Linked DNA regions of Diceros bicornis minor. The protein of the gene in region 1 interacts with the protein of each later gene in a biochemical or structural test. Links are inferred from orthologs where the notes say so. Each region holds a gene or a part of one and is shown in the gene's direction. Other genes may lie near its edges.

Evidence for each region.
Region 2: of the proteins of DAPK3 (region 1) and PAWR, one has a biochemical effect on the other in vitro, tested with the Homo sapiens proteins (2 studies listed by BioGRID). The link is inferred for Diceros bicornis minor from reciprocal best matches to the Homo sapiens genes DAPK3 and PAWR.

Annotation. Positions count from the first base shown.
Region 1 is NW_026691553.1:3,018,769-3,027,672, reverse strand, and holds the start of DAPK3 (death-associated protein kinase 3), read left to right. Parts: upstream 1-3,913; 5' UTR 3,914-3,959; intron 3,960-4,905; 5' UTR 4,906-5,000; coding exon 5,001-5,062; intron 5,063-8,904. UniProt on the Homo sapiens protein: Serine/threonine kinase which is involved in the regulation of apoptosis, autophagy, transcription, translation and actin cytoskeleton reorganization. Involved in the regulation of smooth muscle contraction.
Region 2 is NC_080764.1:40,239,700-40,248,603, forward strand, and holds the start of PAWR (PRKC apoptosis WT1 regulator protein), read left to right. Parts: upstream 1-4,205; 5' UTR 4,206-4,275; coding exon 4,276-4,797; intron 4,798-8,904. UniProt on the Homo sapiens protein: Pro-apoptotic protein capable of selectively inducing apoptosis in cancer cells, sensitizing the cells to diverse apoptotic stimuli and causing regression of tumors in animal models.

The DNA of each region.
Region 1 (8,904 bases):
GGAAGAAACCGAAGAATGTCACGGGTGGTGGAGGAAAACTGCAGTTATCTCAACTTTTAACCAAACACTGCTTGACATACAGTGTTTTTTGTACTTTTTAAGAATACACTTACTTTTTGAATAACGTTATATTTACAGAAAAGTTGAAGATCCTACAGAGATGTTATCCTATGTAACCACTGTGCATTTGTCAAAACCAAGGAGTAAACATTGGAAGGTTACTCTTAGCCGTGTGACGGAGTTTATTCGGGTGTTATCCGGATGTCCACGCATGCCCTTTTCTCTATTTCAGGATTCAATCCGGGATAGATACTGCATTGCAGCTAGTTTTGTACATTTTAACTTTTTTTGTGAGGAAGATCGGCCCTGAGCTAACATCTGCCAGTCCTCCTCTTTTTGCTGAGGAAGACTGGCCCTGGGCTAACATCCGTGCCCATCTTCCTCCACTTTATCTGGGACCCCGCCACAGCATGGCCTGACAAGTGGTCCGTCGGTGCGCACCTGGGATCCGAACCTGCAAACCCCGGGCCGCCGAAGCGGAGTGTGGGCACTTAACCCCTACGCCACCAGGCCAGCCCCTGTACATTTTTAATACCAAATAATTTTGCCAGAGATATGACTATATAAATTGAGAAGATTGAACTGCATTTTGTTGAACTACAAGAATTTTTCACCACTTCCAAATACTGATGGCAAGGCCACTGTGGTATTTGGCTTGCTAATACAGCACCTCTGTGTCAACGTGCATTTATAGCTGCTGCATGCACGGTGATTCCATTTCTGGGGGCTGCCATCTGGTGACTACGTTGTGTCTTCTGAGTAATTCCACCCGAGCTTAGACATGTTACAAATATGTGTGTGCGCGCGCGTGTGTGTATTGCTCCCTACCTAGATTTGTTTCATTTTATTTATCGATTTTAGTTAAATGGTGTTATTTTTGTGATTGCTCCAGGCCAGCAGTTCCCAACTTTTTGATGTCAGGACCCTTAGACACTCTGAAACGTTACTGAGCTTTTGTTTAAACAAATTGCTTTTGTTTAAACGGGTTCTCTCTGCTGATATTCACCATATTTTGAAATTAAAATTGAGAAATTTCAAAAATAGTAATGAATTTATTTTGAAATAACAATAACAAACCCATCTCATTTAACATAAATAGCAAATAACATTTTTATGGAAGAAAAACTATTTCCCAAAACGAAATAATAGAAGAGTAGCATTGTTCTACATTTTTGCAAATCTTCGAAATCTCTGGCTTCATAGAAGACAACTGGATTCTTTTTTTTTGTGAGGGAGATCAGCCCTGAGCTAACATCCATGCTAATCCTCCTCTTTTTGGTGAGGAAGACCGGCCCTGAGCTAACATCTATTGCCAATCCTTCTCCTTTTTTTTTCCCCCCAAAGCCCCAGTAGATAGTTGTATGTCATAGTTGCACGTCCTTCTAGACAACTGGATTCTTATATCTGCTTCTGTATTAAATCTGTTATGTTGTTTTGGTTGAACTATTTGGAGAGAATCAAGCCTCACTCATTCCCATACTTGGAAAAGAGAGAAGCATTTTAGTACTTTTTTCAGCTAATTGGGCATGTTCTTTTATACAACACCAAAACTCAACAAGTGCTGGTTTCTTAAGGAGTAATTACAATGTGGTATCTGAAACCATACTAATGAACTTTTCGTAATTGTTACATTAAAATCCATTGGTCTGTCTTGCACTTTGAATGAGTCTTTGCTTCCCACATGATTTTGTAACATCATGCGCTGGTTATGTAGCAATATTAGTAGTAAACCAGGACCGGCCCTGTGGCATAGCGGTTAAGTGCGCGCGCTCCGCTGCTGACGGCCCGGGTTCGGATCCCCCACACGCACTGATGCACCGCTTGTCGGGCCACGCTGTGGGGCGTCCCATATAAAGTGGAGGAAGATGGGCACGGATGTTAGCCCAGGGCCAGTCTTCCTCAGCAAAAACAGGATGATTGGCATGGATGTTAACTCAGGGCTGATCTTCCTCACACACACTAAATAAATAAATAAATAAACAGATAAATAAATAAATATTAAACAAAAAAAAAGTAGTAAACCAAGTTTGCAGTTCTTCCAGATGTTGGCACATTTCATTAAACCATACCGAAAAATCGCATTTGTTACTATCAATTTCATTAGGCAAGTGTCGAGGTATCGGGAAACTGTCAGGTGTCAAAAAATTTAATATTTTGCTTGAAAGCTCAAATGTTACCGTCGGCAACAAATACTGTCAACCGTTTCCCTTGAAGTGACAGGCTCAATTTGTTCATTTTTGAGAAAATGTCTGCCAAATACCCAAGTCTGAATTACTATAGTTTGTCAGTTGTTTTTTTCAAGGAAAAATGGTGTTCCAACCCCTCACTCACTACGTGTGGGCTGTGCATACGTAACTTGCTTCCAATGAATATCGTACAGAAAAGGGAGGAAAAAAGAGTGACTTTATAGTGGAGAAACCTGACGAGCCAGGGGACCAAGGTCAACATAAACAGTGACAAGTCACATGGATGGAATAGACCCCGATATGATGGGGTGAAAAGGGCACTTTACCTCTGGGGTCCTCCGCCTTAAAACCCATCACCCCAGTCCAACCATGAGAAAACAATCAGACACACCCCAGTTGAGGGACATTCTACAAAATGCCTGTCCAGTCCTCAAAACTGTCAAGGTCATCAAAAACAGGAAAGTCTGAGAAACCGTCACGGCCCCAAGGAGCTTAAGGACTAAATGTCATGTGGGATCCTGAAACGGAAGAAGGGCGTTAGGAAAAACAAGGAATCCGAGTAAAGCGTGGACTTGGTTAAGAGTAACGTGTCGCTGTCGGTTCATTAGTTGTGACAAATGTACCATGTTAGTGTATGATGCAGTAACAGGGGAAACCGGGTGTGGGAGAAGGCACTGCTTTCGCTGTGAACTGGAGTGTGTGTAGGGGTTAAGTAAGAGGGGAGGAAGGCGATCTCCAGGCGGAAGGAACAGCTCGTGCCAAGACCTTGGGTAGGAATGAGATGTTTGAAGTCAGAAGGAACACAAACGGGTTTGGAGTGCAGTGAGCAAGGGGGAGACCGGCGCTGATGTTAGGGTGGTCGGCAAAGGCTGAAAGATATAGGGTCTTGTGTCCAATGGCTTCTGAGGTGGCTTGGGGTTCGGGCCCATCTGGGAATGAATCTCAGTCCTGCCATTTACCCGCTGTGTGACTTTGAGTGAGATACCTAACCTCTCTGGGTCTCAATTTCCCCCTCTGTAGAATGGGGGAAATATTAATATATTCTTCCTCCTAAGGTTGTTGATTGGTACATGCTAAGGCTCAATAAACGCTGTTATTATCATGTATCTTGAGAAGAACAGGAGTCGCAGAAGGAGCCTCAAGCATGCATGGCAACACCTGACTGGTCTCCTCACTTGCGTTTTTATTTATGTATTTGGAATAGGGGTAACGTTTTACAGGGGAGGAAACCGCCACTCAGGGACTAAAGCAGCCCTGGGGTCCATCCCCGGAGCTGCCACGCCGGAGCTGGGCTTTGGATTCGCGTACTCTGCGCCCAGAAACCCAGGAATATCGGGGGGCAGGACTTCAGCCTCGCGCCTCCCAGCTTCAGGACCCCGGTCAGAGGAGATAGGGCGGGGCGACCCAGGGGCCGGAAGTCGGTCTGCAGACTTACGAAAGCTTGACGGGCGTCAGTTACAGCCAATCAGCTGCGGGGAGGTGAGCCTGTTGGCCAATGGCGAGGCGGCATCTAGGTGCGGAGGGCCGGACGCCTTCGGGCCTGGGCCGGGAAGGCTGCGGTGGGCGGGGCGTCACGAGCGGCGGGCGCGCTGACCAATGGGCGGTGAGATCCGCCTCCGGGGGCGGGCACTAGCGGACGCGGTGACGTCATCGCAGGTCAGCACGTCGCAGGGGCCCAAGGAGGCGGCGGCGGCCAGCGCGGCGGAGGGACCGGTGAGCGGAGGGTGCGGAGCGGGCTCGGCCCTAGGCCGGCGGGTGAAGGGGGCCCTGGGGGACGTAGGGCGACGTCTGGGGAGTCCTGGGATGACCGGGCCGGAGAAGGGGCTGGGCCGGGGCCTGCGGGGGGCGTGGCGGCCTCGGGGACGCTGCAGCAGGGACATTAGGGATTGGGGAGTCCTTGGAGGGGTCGCTGAAGGGGTCATCGGGGTCTGCCCTGGAGCTCGTGCGAGGGTTGGGGGCGAGAGACCGTGGAGGAGGCTCAGATGTGGCCCTTTGCGGGGGCCCTTTGTTTGGGGGTGGGGGAGACTGGGGTGGGGCCCTGATACCTGGAGGGGTGCCTTCGAGGAGGGGGCGGTCAGGGGGAGGCAGGAGTGGGGAGGGGCTTGCAGGAAGCCGCTGTCCAGTTCCTGGGAATTCAGGGTGCGGGGAGAACACCGCTGAGGAGGGTCTTAAGAGACCGGCCGAGGTTGGGGGGCCCTGGGGGGGAGAGCGTCAGGACGAGGGGGGTTGGAGGTCGCTGATGGGCAGGGAGATGGGAGCGTGCGGGACTGGAACTACTTAGGAAGCTGGGCAGGAGTCCCGGGGTCTGGGGGTGTGGAGACTGGGGGAGCTTGCAGGAATGTGTGGGGCCTCTGGATGAGCAGGTTGGGAGAAGGCAGAGACAGGTGGGGGCAGTGTGTGGGGAGCCAGAGGTAGTGCCTGGCGGGAGTTATGGGGGCGAAGGTGGCACAGTGGGGCTCACACCGACCTTTTGGGGGGCACGGTGTCTAAATGAGATGCCACGGGAAAGTGGCCGGCTCGCTAAACGCACGTGCCCCCTGAGGACAGTGGGCCTTCAGCGTGGAGTGATGTGAGACCTATCTTTGGCGAGCAGGTGGCTCCGTTTACCTAGGAGTAGTGGCATCTCATTCCTTCTTTCCTGTGTCTCTGTCTCCTCCAGGGTCACAGCGAGGGGACTCCCCGAGGTCCCGTCCCCAGGCTGCAGTGACTGGGCTTTCACTGGAGCGGAAGGTGCTGGAAGGCAGACCGGCCACCATGTCCACATTCAGGCAGGAAGATGTGGAAGACCACTACGAGATGGGGGAGGAGCTGGGCAGGTGAGCAGGCCCCTCTGACGGGGCTCTGGGGCTGGGGGAGGCACTGCGGGGTTTTCTGGACAGTATCTCCCGTCCTGTCCTTTGTTCTGTTCTCCAAGATGGAATGAGTCAGGGGTGTGTGCTGGTGGAACGAGTTTGGGCTTTGGAATCAGACAGCCCTGGCCGTGAATTCCTGCTCTGACATCCTCTGTGCGTTTCCTTTGGGAAGAAACGTAACTGAGTGTCTTTGGCACCGAATGCGATGCCTGGCAAGTGGTGTGAGAGCAGTTGGGTTAGCAGTTTCTGTCTCTTTAATCCTCTCGTGTGGGAGGCATTTACGTCTCCGCAGCTCTTGAACACACGTTTCCAGGGAAGGCCTCCTGTCTGGGCCCCCACGCCTGCCGATTGTGAGCATTCTTGTGGGAAAAAGCGGAGGTTTCCCATTCCAGCCGGGCAGCTGATTTCCTGCCTGGCCGGGCCTTGCCGGGTCCCCTGGGAACTCGCCTGCCTCAGACCAGTCAGGCACCATTCTTTTTTTTTTTTTTTTTCCCAGAGCCTCAAACCTTATTTGGTGAGTTTGTTGCTGGCCAGCCTTCCTGATCTGCCTTGGCCGGCCCCATGATGTCACCAGAAAGGAATGTAAATAACTCAGCCCCGCCTCAGGCCTTTTCGGAGAGAGTGGCTCCTTTGGGATCCTGAAGTGCTTCCTTTAGGAATTTCCTCTGTTAGAGAGGTAGCGAATGCAGCCTCCACCTCCCGCCCCCCCCCCCCAAAGAAATCTCATATTTTATTGTTGAAAATGTGTTAGGACCTCCTACTGAGGGTAGTTTGGCAAAAATCAGCAAAATGTCACATGTATGTTCTCTTTAACCCATCGATTCCACTCCCAGGAATGAATTCAGTGGAAATACGTGCTACACGGATCAATGACCTAGGAATAGGAGTAGATGCTATAGGGATTTTATATGAGTGAAAGATGGGAAGCCTCTTTGGGCCGTTACAGCAACACCACATCCGTTAATGGAACATTATGCAGCCGTTAAAAAGAGCCAGGCAACTCGTCTGATGTGGGCCACATAGGAAATTTATTGAAGTTTTCTAGATAAACTGAGGATGAGAGAAGGGAAGGGACTTGCCCAAGGGCACACAGACTGTAAGTGGCAAAGGAGGATTCAGACCTTGAGACAAAGCCCCCCTGGCTCCAGAGCCCAGGTGCGCTGGAATCAGAGGTGGGCACCTGGTTCCCGTCTGCCCGACAGCCAGCTCTGCCCTCGTATCCCGGGGTTGGGCCCATTTGATGTCCAGACGAAGACGAGCCCCTGACCTGAGTGTTGGGAAGAGAGTGTGTGCTCACGCCCAAAACATCGTCCTCTTTCGGGCGCGCGCTTTGCCCCTCTGAGGTTGGCCGCTGTGATCAGCTCTCGGTTTCAGAGGAGGGAACGAGCTGCAGTTCAGTGTCGAGCAGAGCTGTCTTTCCCGAGCCTAATTATCAACTGTCTTTGGGGAATTAGCTGCCGGAATCACCGTGGGGACAGACCTCGAGTAAAGCAGGGCCACCTTGTCTCGTCCCAGGGGTCACAGGGCTCAGTGAACTGGGAGCGAGTTTCTTTGTGTGTGTGTTCTCAATTCAAATTCGAATCGACACTCTCAGGAAATAAATTAATCCGTGGTGGCTGAGTCTGTGGGCTTCCACGTCGTGGAGTGGCGGCACGTCTGTGTTAGTGAGCTCCCACTGTCGGAGCTCAGTGCCCCGGACGAGGGGCTTAAACAGCAGACGTGTATTCTTTCCCAGTGCTGCAGGCTGGAAATCCAAAATCTGGGTGTCGGCAGGGCAGGTTCCCTCTGAGGCCTCTCTCCTTGGCGTGTAGACGGCCGTCTCCCGGTGTCCTCACGTGGTCCCCCTCTGTGCGTGTCTGTGTCCTCCTCTCCTCCTCTTATAAGGACACAGTCCTATTGGTTAGGACCCACCCTAATGACTTCTTTTAACTTAATCACCTCTTTAAAGACCTGTCTCCAAACGCAGTCACATTCTGAGGTCCTGGGGGTTAGGGCTTCAACATACAGATTTCGGGGGGACCCAGTTCAGCTCACAACAGCATCTTTTGACCTGTTCCCATGATCTCGGTCTTACTCATCTTTATGTGTGAGTTCAGCTTGGAATCAAGCTGGAGGAGAGCAGTCCTTGTATTGGAAATTCAGGCCACACGTCCAGTGCTCAGCACGGCGTGGCGGACACTCGGCCTGTGATGTCATTGCCGTCAGGGAGTCTTCGTGGGGTGGGGGGCGGGCCTGGAAGAATTCGCTTGGCTGATGTAGGCAGAGGGGCGGGGGGAGGCATTTCACGTGGGGGGAGTGTTAGCCCAGACTTGGAGGGGCAGGAGCATAGTGGACCTGGGGGCTGTTGTGGCAGATTGGGGAGTGGGGGGCAAGGCCTGAGCGGGAACACTTAGCCTTTCTCGTCTCACCTGTGTCCCTGGCTTTTAGGTTAGTGTTGGAGTTTCCTGTTGCTGCCGTAACAAACTACCACAGTTTAGTGGCTTACAAGAGCACGCATTGGTTATCTGAAAGGTCTGGGGCTCCGGAGTCTAAAATGGATCCTCAGGGCTGGTCCTCCGGAGGCTCCAGGGAGAACCGTCTCCTGCCTTTTCCAGCTTCTAGAGGCCGCGTCCTGGGCTCGGGGCCCCTTCCTCCGTCTGCACAGCCCGCAGCGCAGCGTCTCCCGTCTCTCAGCCTCTGACCCTCCTCCTCCCTCTGATGGGGACCCTGTGGTGACACTGGGCCCCCGGGGATCCAGGGTCATCCCCATCTCAGGGGCCTTGACTTAATCCATCTGCAAAGTCCCCTGTGCCGTGTGAGGTGACGCATCCACAGGTCCCAGGATTTGGACGTGGACGTCTTTGGAGGGGCCATTATTTCATCTACCATGGTCAGTCATGATTTTGCACCTCCCACCTGCCCACCTCGAGCTTCACCCACCTCCTGACCCCCCGAGTGTGTGCAGAGCACACCCGTGGTGGCCCGCCCTGGGTGCTCCTCGTGTGGTGCTGGTGCGGGCGTGGCTTAGGTGCCTGCCAGCTGCGGTGGTCCTGGGCTCCCAGGGAAGGTCCGCTTGCTGAGACGCATGTCTCAGGTCCCAGTCAGGTCGCTTGGCTTTTCTGGGAGCCCCTCTGGCGTGGCACAGGCGCCCCTCACTCGTCTGTCTGTCTCTGGTTCTGCCTGGCCTGTCTTCCCTCTGCCGCCACCAACTTCAGGGACCCCTCCTGTCCCCAAGGCCCGTCTCCGCTGTTCCTTCCTCTACATGCTGTCCCCCGTTTCCCTGAGGTGTCGCGTAGTCCCTTCTTCTTGACGCTGACGGTGCCCTGCTGGCGTTCCGTCCGGGGCACGCGCTTGCTCCCTGGGGATTGGCCCGTCCACTGACGTGTGCGTTCCCGTATCCTCTTGGTGCCGGCTCAGCGACCACCGCCTGTGGGCCAAATCCCACCCTAGCCACTTCGTGCAGCCCGCTCGTGGATCTGGAATGGGCTTTGACTGTTTTTAAGGGTTGTAAAAACGTGCAGGAATTGTGACAGAGGCCACATGGCCCGTAAAGCTTGAAATATTTACTGTCTGGCCTTTGTCAGTCACCTCTTGAGTTACAGCAAGTTAACCTAAGCGAGTTCCTAGACAGCAAAGGAATTCGGACACTGGGCAGCTCCCTGGGGGGCAGTAAATAGACTTTCTCTCTCTCGGTAACGGCTGTCTTGAGATATAATTCACATACCGTACAGTTCTCTCATTCAAAGTGTACAACTTAATGCTCTTTAGTACATTCACAGAGTTGTGCAACCATCACCACTAGATAGTTCCAAAACATTTCCATAATC
Region 2 (8,904 bases), on another chromosome or scaffold:
GAGATTAATTAAAAATGTTTTCCAAATGCAAGTTCTCCAGGAATGTGTAATCCTATCCCCAGAATATGAGGATGTACTCCACTAAAATGAGGGGAAAAAACAAGAAAGAGGACAATATGGGATTCAGGAAACAACGAGTCTGCACAGGAAATGATTCCCAGTATGACCACGGAGCAACGAGCCTTAAAATCAATCCAGACTAGAGCAGGGGATGGAGGGCTCCAGGAGAGATGTCTCCAAGAAAAAGAGAAATAGAACTACGGATTACCCGACATGATTAAGTGCATTGAGAGGAGGAAAGTTTGGGTGTAAATTTGTGAGTGGTATATAGAAAATATTAAGCCAATGATTAAAAAAAAAAAAAGGCAAGTTTTAACTGCAGGAAAAAGAAATAGTTGTGCAATAAGGAAAAACAGTTTAAAAAAAAGAAATGCAATTATAGTGCACTGCATGGCTCAGCTGTGAACAATATTTTCATAGTCATAACACTATAAACACTGAATGTTTATTCAATAAAAATCTTGATATAAATATAGTGGGAGTTTAGGAGTAAGAAAAGTGTATGCATAGTTAGTGTAAGACAGCTACATTTTCCTCTATATTAGGAAGTCAGCAAAGGACATCTAAAAATGGAAAAAATCAAGAAGTAGAATAGTAGATAAGGACATTTAAAAATTAAATATGAATAGCTATATTAGCAGAAACAGTTAAAAGAGTTTAAAGTTCTGGGAGGGGTTTGGGGAGTGGGAAGGGTAGGTAGGGGATTGCTGTTGTTATAATCCTTGTAGAACTAAAGTATTTAACTTTTAAAACTATGTACATCTATTATTTTTCTTTTAGATGGTAAACTGCATATGCTACAGAGATATTTGCCTTGAAGGCAAAATGGCTATTTCTCAATATCCTGTTATTTATTTCAACACATACAAATAGGCTATTTCACATCATAGCTAATCCATTGCCTGGAAAACATTGACTTAACATTTAGAATAAGTTTCACTCGGACATAGTAAAATGAATCTTTTTATTTGTTTTGTTAGCATCATCATATTTCCCTTTATTATTAAGGGGAAGTGGGTCACCAAAATTATTTTAGGCTAGCTCAGAGGTTCTCAACTGGAGAAAATTTTGCCGCCAAGTAACATTTGGCAAAGTAACAACTGGGGGTGCGGGCAGCTACTGGTATCTAGTAGGTAGAAGCCAAGGATGCTGCTAAACATCCTACAATGGATAGGACAACCCCCCAAACAAAGAAATATCTGGTCCCAAATGTCCATAGTGCTGCAGTTGGGAAACCAAGCTCTGAGTCTTTGAGGATTATTTCATCAGAACACTCTACATAAAGATTGATGATATGCAAACATTTTGCAATTTAGGACTGACTCAGCTAAACATCTTGTTGCAATGTTGGAAGCAGTCTGGCTGTGAAATATCTCTGGGAATATTGAGAATGGTAAGGTAAAGACAAAAGGTATAATAAATGATAATGATACATAGTGCTTTGTACCTCAATAATCTCTTTCATCCATGGTTCTTAGGGCGCTTTATAGAGTAATAATAGCTACTCTGGTACTCACATACTACCTTTTATCTAAGGATCTCAGGCACTGTCACAACACTTTCACAAGGTAGGAAGTATTATTATCCTCATTTTATATGTAAGTAAACAGAGGCACAAATGTTAAGCAACTTGTCCAAAGCCACACAAGTCACTGGTAGCCAATCTTCTTGACTCAGAAGTCAAGAGATGCAGTGATAAATTTATGTGGCATCAGTGTTATCCTCGTTCATTCAAAGTCTATCATTTTCAAATTTAAATTGTGTATTCAGTACCTTATCTTTTTTGCCTTTCCTCCGACCCCCCACTTCTTAGAGACCCTGGACTCTGACTGATACCCTATTAATAAAAGGGACTATATTTACAGAGTACTTTCCTTGAACCAAGCACACCTAACATGCGGTGTCAATTCTTACAGTGGCTTAAAAATATATGCCAGTATTGCTGATTTTTATAGTAAAGAAAGCTGAGTTTCAGAGAATTTAAACAACATGACCAAGATCTTTCAGCTACTATGTGTCTAGGCAGAATATCTCCTTTTTTTCACTGTCTCCTGCAGCCCCTCCAAGCATATTAATGTGAATCTTTTTAATGTCCAACTCTCTCTAAAACTCAAAAAACAAAATAATGCATCTATAATTGAGGGATTTCAGGTGGTGCACCCAGGTTGGTACCAGCTAGGCTCAGCCTTTTAAATCTATTCCCAAGGAAGGCCTTTACTTTTCTAAGGATTTTTCCAGAGCTCTCTCCGTTACCCACACATGTTCACCCCAACAGCCAGACCAAAGACCAGAACTGCACGACTTCCCCTCTGAGAAATAAAGAGCATGTGAAGCACTTTCTCCTGTTCTCATTCCTGTCACAGGCACACACTGACTGCACACCCACCATGTGCCACCTGGGCGAATACTAAGTAGGAACAAAGATTTGTTAGGTAAGAGTGTGACTCAGGGCTCGCCTACTTTTCACAAAACAGTGACCTGGCATTTGTACATGTGTGCCCTACAATGATGTGCATGGCATTACTCGGATAGAGGGAGGTCAATCTCCTCAGGTGCCTGTCAGTGGCAGCCCACCCAGCCCTGATCTGGAAACCTCAGATGACTTGCAGCTGAGGGTAAGATTTTCCCTATGGTGTGTTAAGGATGGGAAAAGAGTGAGCGCCCCAGCTCATATCAGATGAGCATTAGGGCAGCTTTAGTACTTTGGGAGGGAGCTTTGCTGCTAAATTCACTATCTGTAAAGAGTGGTGTAGAGACAGGGTTAAGAGGAAAACTCCAAATTCATTGGGATCGCCAATACAATACACTGTCGAAATGTTAATTTTTTCCTGCAAGCCTAAGATAATAGTAACCCGGTGATAATTCACTGATAATTTAAGCCTCTCCTTTTAGCTGACGCTTTCACCAGAAGACCACAGACTTTTCTTAGAAGGAGGATGCTGGGTTTGTTTCAATTCCTTCTGCTCTCCTGCCTGCCACCCTAGTGCATCTGAAGAGGGCACAGCGACGAGGAAAAGGGACGCGCGAGCGTTTTCCCATCCTGGCTACTCCGGCCCTGAATCATCGCAAGTTGATGGTACTTTTCCCTCAGCCAGCAGCATTCGAGACTTTCCCTCGAAGAATGTGTCTTGTACTTAAAAGGAAGAGTGGCGGGAGCCGCGAGAGGCGGAGAGGAGGACGGGGTGAGGGCGTGCAGGGCCGCTCCCGCCCCGGAGCCGGCGGCGCCGGGAGGCCGGCCGCCGCGAGGCCGCGAGCCCAGGAATGTGCGCTGCGGCCCGCGGGCGCGGGGCGGGCGGCGGCGCCGCGCACCTGAGCGCCGGGGGCGGGGCGTCGGCAGACCCGACCTCCCCCCGCGCGCCGCGCCCCTCGCGCCCGGCTCGGCCCTTTCCGCCCGCGCTTCGGCGCCGCTCGGCTCCCCTCCGCCCCTCGTTCCCTCCCAGCCCGGAGAACCGCGAGCTCCGGCCGGCGGGTTGCTGCCGCTCGTTCCTTGCGCGCGGCCGCCTCGGCTCACCTGGGCGCCCGCGCCCGCGCCCGGGCCCCGCGCCTCGTCCCCCCAGCTCCTCCCAGGTAAGCGGCTGCCCCGGCCGCCCGCGCTCCACGCGCGCACTGTCCCTCCCCACTCGGCCGGACGGCTGGTGTCTCCCCGCGTCCCGCCTCCTCCGCGGGCAGCCTGGGGGCTCCGCGCCTCGACCCGGGCGTGGGGTGTCGGGGCGGGGACCCCGGGCCGGCGGCGGCCGGAGCGAGGGGCGGGAGCTGCGACGGGCCAACAGGTGGCGGGGTCTGGCCCTGGTCCCCCGACCGCCGCGGGCGCTGACCCGGGTGGGGATGGGGGCGGGCGGGCCGGGGGTGGGGACAACCCCTCTCTCCTCCCCTCGAGGGGCGGCGATCGCCCGGCCCGCCGTGTAGGTGCGTCGGAGAAACTTTGCAGGGTGGGGACTCGGCGGCCGCGGCTGGCGGGGCGAGTGGGCGCGCTCTTTGGGGCTCGGAGGGGCGCGGCCGCGGGCAGACCCTCGGGCCGGGCGAGGACCTGACGCCTCCCTTCCCCGCCCCCTTTTGTGTTTCCCCCCAGACCGGCCGGCCGCTGGGGGAGCCGCGGCCGCCCCCGCGCCGGGGGTCGTTGCCTCGCATCCTCCGGGCGGCGGGAAGGAAGAGGCGGCGGCCGCTGCAGCCGGGGCGGGCGGCGTGAGGTGAGCGCCGGCCGGCCCCGCTGGGAATATGGCGACCGGTGGCTACCGGGCTGGCAGCGGCGGCAGTGGCAGCACCACCGACTTCCTGGAGGAGTGGAAGGCGAAGCGCGAGAAGATGCGCGCCAAGCAGAACCCCCCGGGCCCGGCCGCCCCGGGCGGGGGCAGCGGCGACGCGGCCGGGAAGCCCGCGGCGGGGGCTCTGGGCCCCTCGGCGGCCGCCGTGGCCAACGAGCTCAACAACAACCTCGCGGGCGGCGCGGCCGCACCTGCCGGGCCCGGGCCCGGGGGCGTGAACTGCACCGGGGGCCCCGCGGCGCCGAGCCGGGCCGCCCCGGGCCCGCGGCGCCCCGAGGACGAGCCCCCCCCCGCCGCCGCCGCCGCCGCCTCGGGGTCCCCGCCGGCCCGGGGCGACCAGGAGGAGCGGGACGGCGCCCCGGAGAAGGGCAAGAGCTCGGGCCCCAGCGCCAGGAAAGGCAAGGGCCAGATCGAGAAGAGGAAGCTGCGGGAGAAGCGGCGCTCCACCGGCGTGGTCAACATCCCCGCCGCGGAGGTGAGCGGGCGGGCCGCGCCGGACCTGGGGGCGGCCGCCTTGTGAGCCGGAGCTCCCCGGGCCCAGGGGTCCCCCTCCGGCTCGTACTTCTTCTCCTTTCGCCGAGTTAGGCGGGCAGAGGGTGATGGAGTTTTCCTCTGGACAAATGCTTCCTGGGAAGAGTTCCCCAAACCCAATAGGACACGTGCTTTTTAGGCTTCTTGGCGAAGGTCTCAGCCCCAGGGTCCTTCTTCAGAGTGGTGGGAAGACCACTCGTAGCTCCGGAACTTGTCCCCCTAGACTTGTTTATGCTTGATCAGTTAGAAAAATTGGTCAGTGGTGATGACGACATACTCTAGCTTCCCACGTGACGGTCTGAAGTTATCAGATTGTTTATCTCCTCTTTTCTCTTAATAGTGTTTAGTAGCACCTGTGAAGAAAACGTGGCCTTAGCACTATCCAGGACAGCTTTATCTTTTTATCTTTCTTTGAACCCAAGATAGATATATCCAAATGAGTATATGCACTATTTTATGTATAAACTAGCTTTTGTAGATGGCAGTCTCCAACACGCACACACACACACTCCGTCTCTTTCTGAGTGATGTTTAGGACAGTAGGAACGCTGTAGCAACCCACAGTTCTTTTTGCTAAGATGATCGCCTATTTAAATATTTGGCTGTGTGTATTCTGGAAAACATTTGCGGTAGGGTTGGTTTCTTTTTTTTTTTTTTGGTATTTTGAGGAATCTCAAAACATTTCTGCAGGCAGCAGCATCTTCCCATTAGAGTGACTGGTGAAACATTTTTCCTTAGCATATAGCCGCACCTCTCTCTACCTTCAACAAAACAAAACAATCCTAAACAAGTTTTGATTACTTTAGTAGCAGCTCACCGGTTTGGGGAAGTAATTCAACAACCTTGTTTCACCCAAAGTAGTTGCATCTTTTTCTCATTGGCTCTTTAGGTTTTAAATTTTTTTTTTTTTTTTGCTTTTGACCTTTTAATTTATTCAACTTTGACACCCAGTAAGTAATTAATAAGAATTTACTAATTTTAATTGTGGTTTAAGTAAAAGCATTTGCAATAAGTTAGGGTGTGTATATCAAACATATCCAAGTTTTTAAGTCTTAATATGAGTTCCATACCTGGAAAATCAGTGTTTGTCTTTGAAGGGTATATTTTTACATGAATGTTTCAGAGAGATTTTTATCAGCCAGCAAAACTGTCCTCTGCGGTTTGCTACTTGCACAAAAGATCTGTTATTCATTAAATTGCTTTAAAAGGAATTCATAAGAGTGGTAATCAAATTTCTAGGATTTTTTTTTTTAGTTAAAAATAGGAAGGTTGAGGGAAAACTGAAGACAAGGCTTTGGAAAAGCTGCATTCCTCAACTTTATTTTTAAAAGGAGCTGATGGTCCAAATAAAAGAATTTGTCATTTTCAATCTTTTCCTCATTGTTCATCTGTCAGGGGTCTTATTTTGGGAAATATCTTGGCAGATGTTAAACTTCATTTCTTGTTTGGCTGCTTGTGCTAAAATTGTTATTTCTCAAGTACCTTTTTTTGTTTCTGTTTTTTAACAAGGGTAATGTTTACTGGGGGAAATAAGTATGGCGTATTTTGTGAGATCCTAAGAAACATCCTTTGTTAATACTCCTGCTTTGGGTAAGGGAACATACTGCTGAGAATGTAGATGACTCCTCAGTACAATTGAGTCTAATACTCTGGAATGTTTTCCGTTTGGGTGTTGGCAACTCCTAAATTTAATCTTCCTTAAAAACAAACAACCCAGGGTACCATTTTTTTGTCTGTGGAATTTGACCCTTTTTTATTGAATAGGGAATTGAGGATTGCTTTCTTTTTGTGGTAACTTTGGCTCTATCGATTTCATGCTGTAGGACCCAACAAAACATGGTAATGTTTTACCAGTGTGTAATTAACAGGCTTACTTCTTGAGTGCCTCCTCCCCGTATTTTCAGTTTTTTAAAAACAACTTAAGACTTTCAGATTATTTTAATAGTGGTAAAACATATGACGCAAAATTTACAGGTGAACCATTTTCATATCTTTAGGTGGTTGCTTTTTTAGAATTGTGTGTCATTCACTTTTCTTAGTAGTTTCAACATTGTAATGCTAGTTGCTGTGGAGTTTGTTGTGTAATACAACTTAGTGCTTCTGTTGTAAAAAGTCATATAGTATTTTACCAAGTTTTCAGGTATGAAAATATTATAAAAGCAGAAAATCACCAATCTGTCATCAGAAGTAGACTTGTATTATGTATAATGTTGAATAAGACTTATTTTCAGACAGTATTCCCAACCAAGTTTATATTAGTAGATTAGTATGTATTTTGTATGCAAAGAGCCTATTTTAGTGGTTGATATAACATTAAGTTGCTTCAAGAAATATTTATTAAACTTCATTGTGACTTTCATTAACTTATTTTACTAATTACGGAGTATTATAAAATTGTTATAAAGATACCTGACAGCAGCTAAAGATATCAAAAGCAACTAGAAGATAGTTTTAGCAAGGAAGAAGGTCAGAAACTGAAAGTGTTGGATGGGAATGGGATACTGGGTATGTTTACTGTAATAAGAAGTGGGGATATACAGATCCTTATTAGTGAGATAAACTTTAGTTCTCATTTACTAAGAGATTTTTTTAAAAGCTTTTTTCTAAATTTTTACTTTTTCTATTTTTTTGGCATAATAGCCCAAATTGGATAATTGGTGACATACTTCCTGCCAGTAATTTTTGTATATGTTTATTAGATCAAATGTTTATTACATGTCTGTGTTCAAGACACTATCATAAGCACTGTGGAGGAAACAAGAAGAATAAGGCAGTGTATATTCTCAAGGAGCAAGACTGTGATCTAGGAAGGAGAATAAGGCAAAATTACGTGAGAAAACTTAAGTACTGAGTTAACAGTTTAAAAGTTATCTTAAGGCAGTGTAGCTAATTGTTTATTAGAAACATTGTGTGTTTAAAGGGCAGAGGTGATTGGGCTGAGAGAAGCTGTTGAGGATGAGCATCTTGAGCTGACACTTATATTTCTATACCTATGTATTTATATATATAGTCACACGTACGTGTATACATACCTGTTTGTATAGTGTTTTAAATGTCAGAGTGCAGTGGTTCTTACTGTGGCAGCACATTAATATCATGTGAGGATCTTAAAAACATGCTCCTTCATGCTGATTACTTGCCCTCTGCCTGCTTGACCTTTTTCTGATTTAATGGGTCTGGGGTGGATCCCAGGCATTAGTATTTTGATAAGCTCCCCATGTGATTCTAATGCAAGTCAAGGTTAAGAACTACTGAGCTGTGGTCTGGAGATACAGAAATGAATAGGACACGGGCCTTGCCCACAAGGGGCTTTCAAGTAATATAAGTAAACGTGGTATGTACGGTGTTAAATACAGTGTATTTCCTGAGCAGGATACCTAGCTCAAGGAGGAAAGGGATGGTTGAGGAAGGCTTCCTTTGACAGTTAGAGGCCTGTTTTCAGAGTGCTTGTGAAGTTATTGCCATTGAGTAGGTTTGCATGAAAGGATTAACAGAGATGGTTACCGTAGGAAATATAATCTTTCAATAGGTAGATGTCAAATGACACTGAAGTTTTGATTTAAATATAAAAGTTAACACATATTGAAGCTTACTATTTTCATAGTGGTTGGCTAAAGTGCTTTATGTAAAGCTGTGTGCCCATCTTCCTCCACTTTATATGGGACGCCGCCACAGCATGGCTTGCCAAGCAGTGCGTCGGTGCGCGCCCGGGATCCGAACCAGCGAACCCCGGGCCGCCGCAGCGGAGCGCGCGCACTTAACCGCTTGCACCACCGGGCCGGCCCCATGTAAAGCTGTTTTAATTAATGCTCTCAGCAATCCTGTGTGGTAGTTACAGTTACTCTTTATCCCCATTTCCAGAGGAGAAAATGGAGGCTTAGGGAGTGTGAGTGACTCAAGATCACACGGAAAGTGAATAATTGGTAGAGCAGTATTTTTAACGTTTTTGTGTTTTATTGTGTATTTCTGCATCTAAGGAGAGGGGAGTTTTTAAGAATTAACCTACTTTGCATTATTTAGTTTATTTCCCTAGATTTTTTTCCCTAACTTT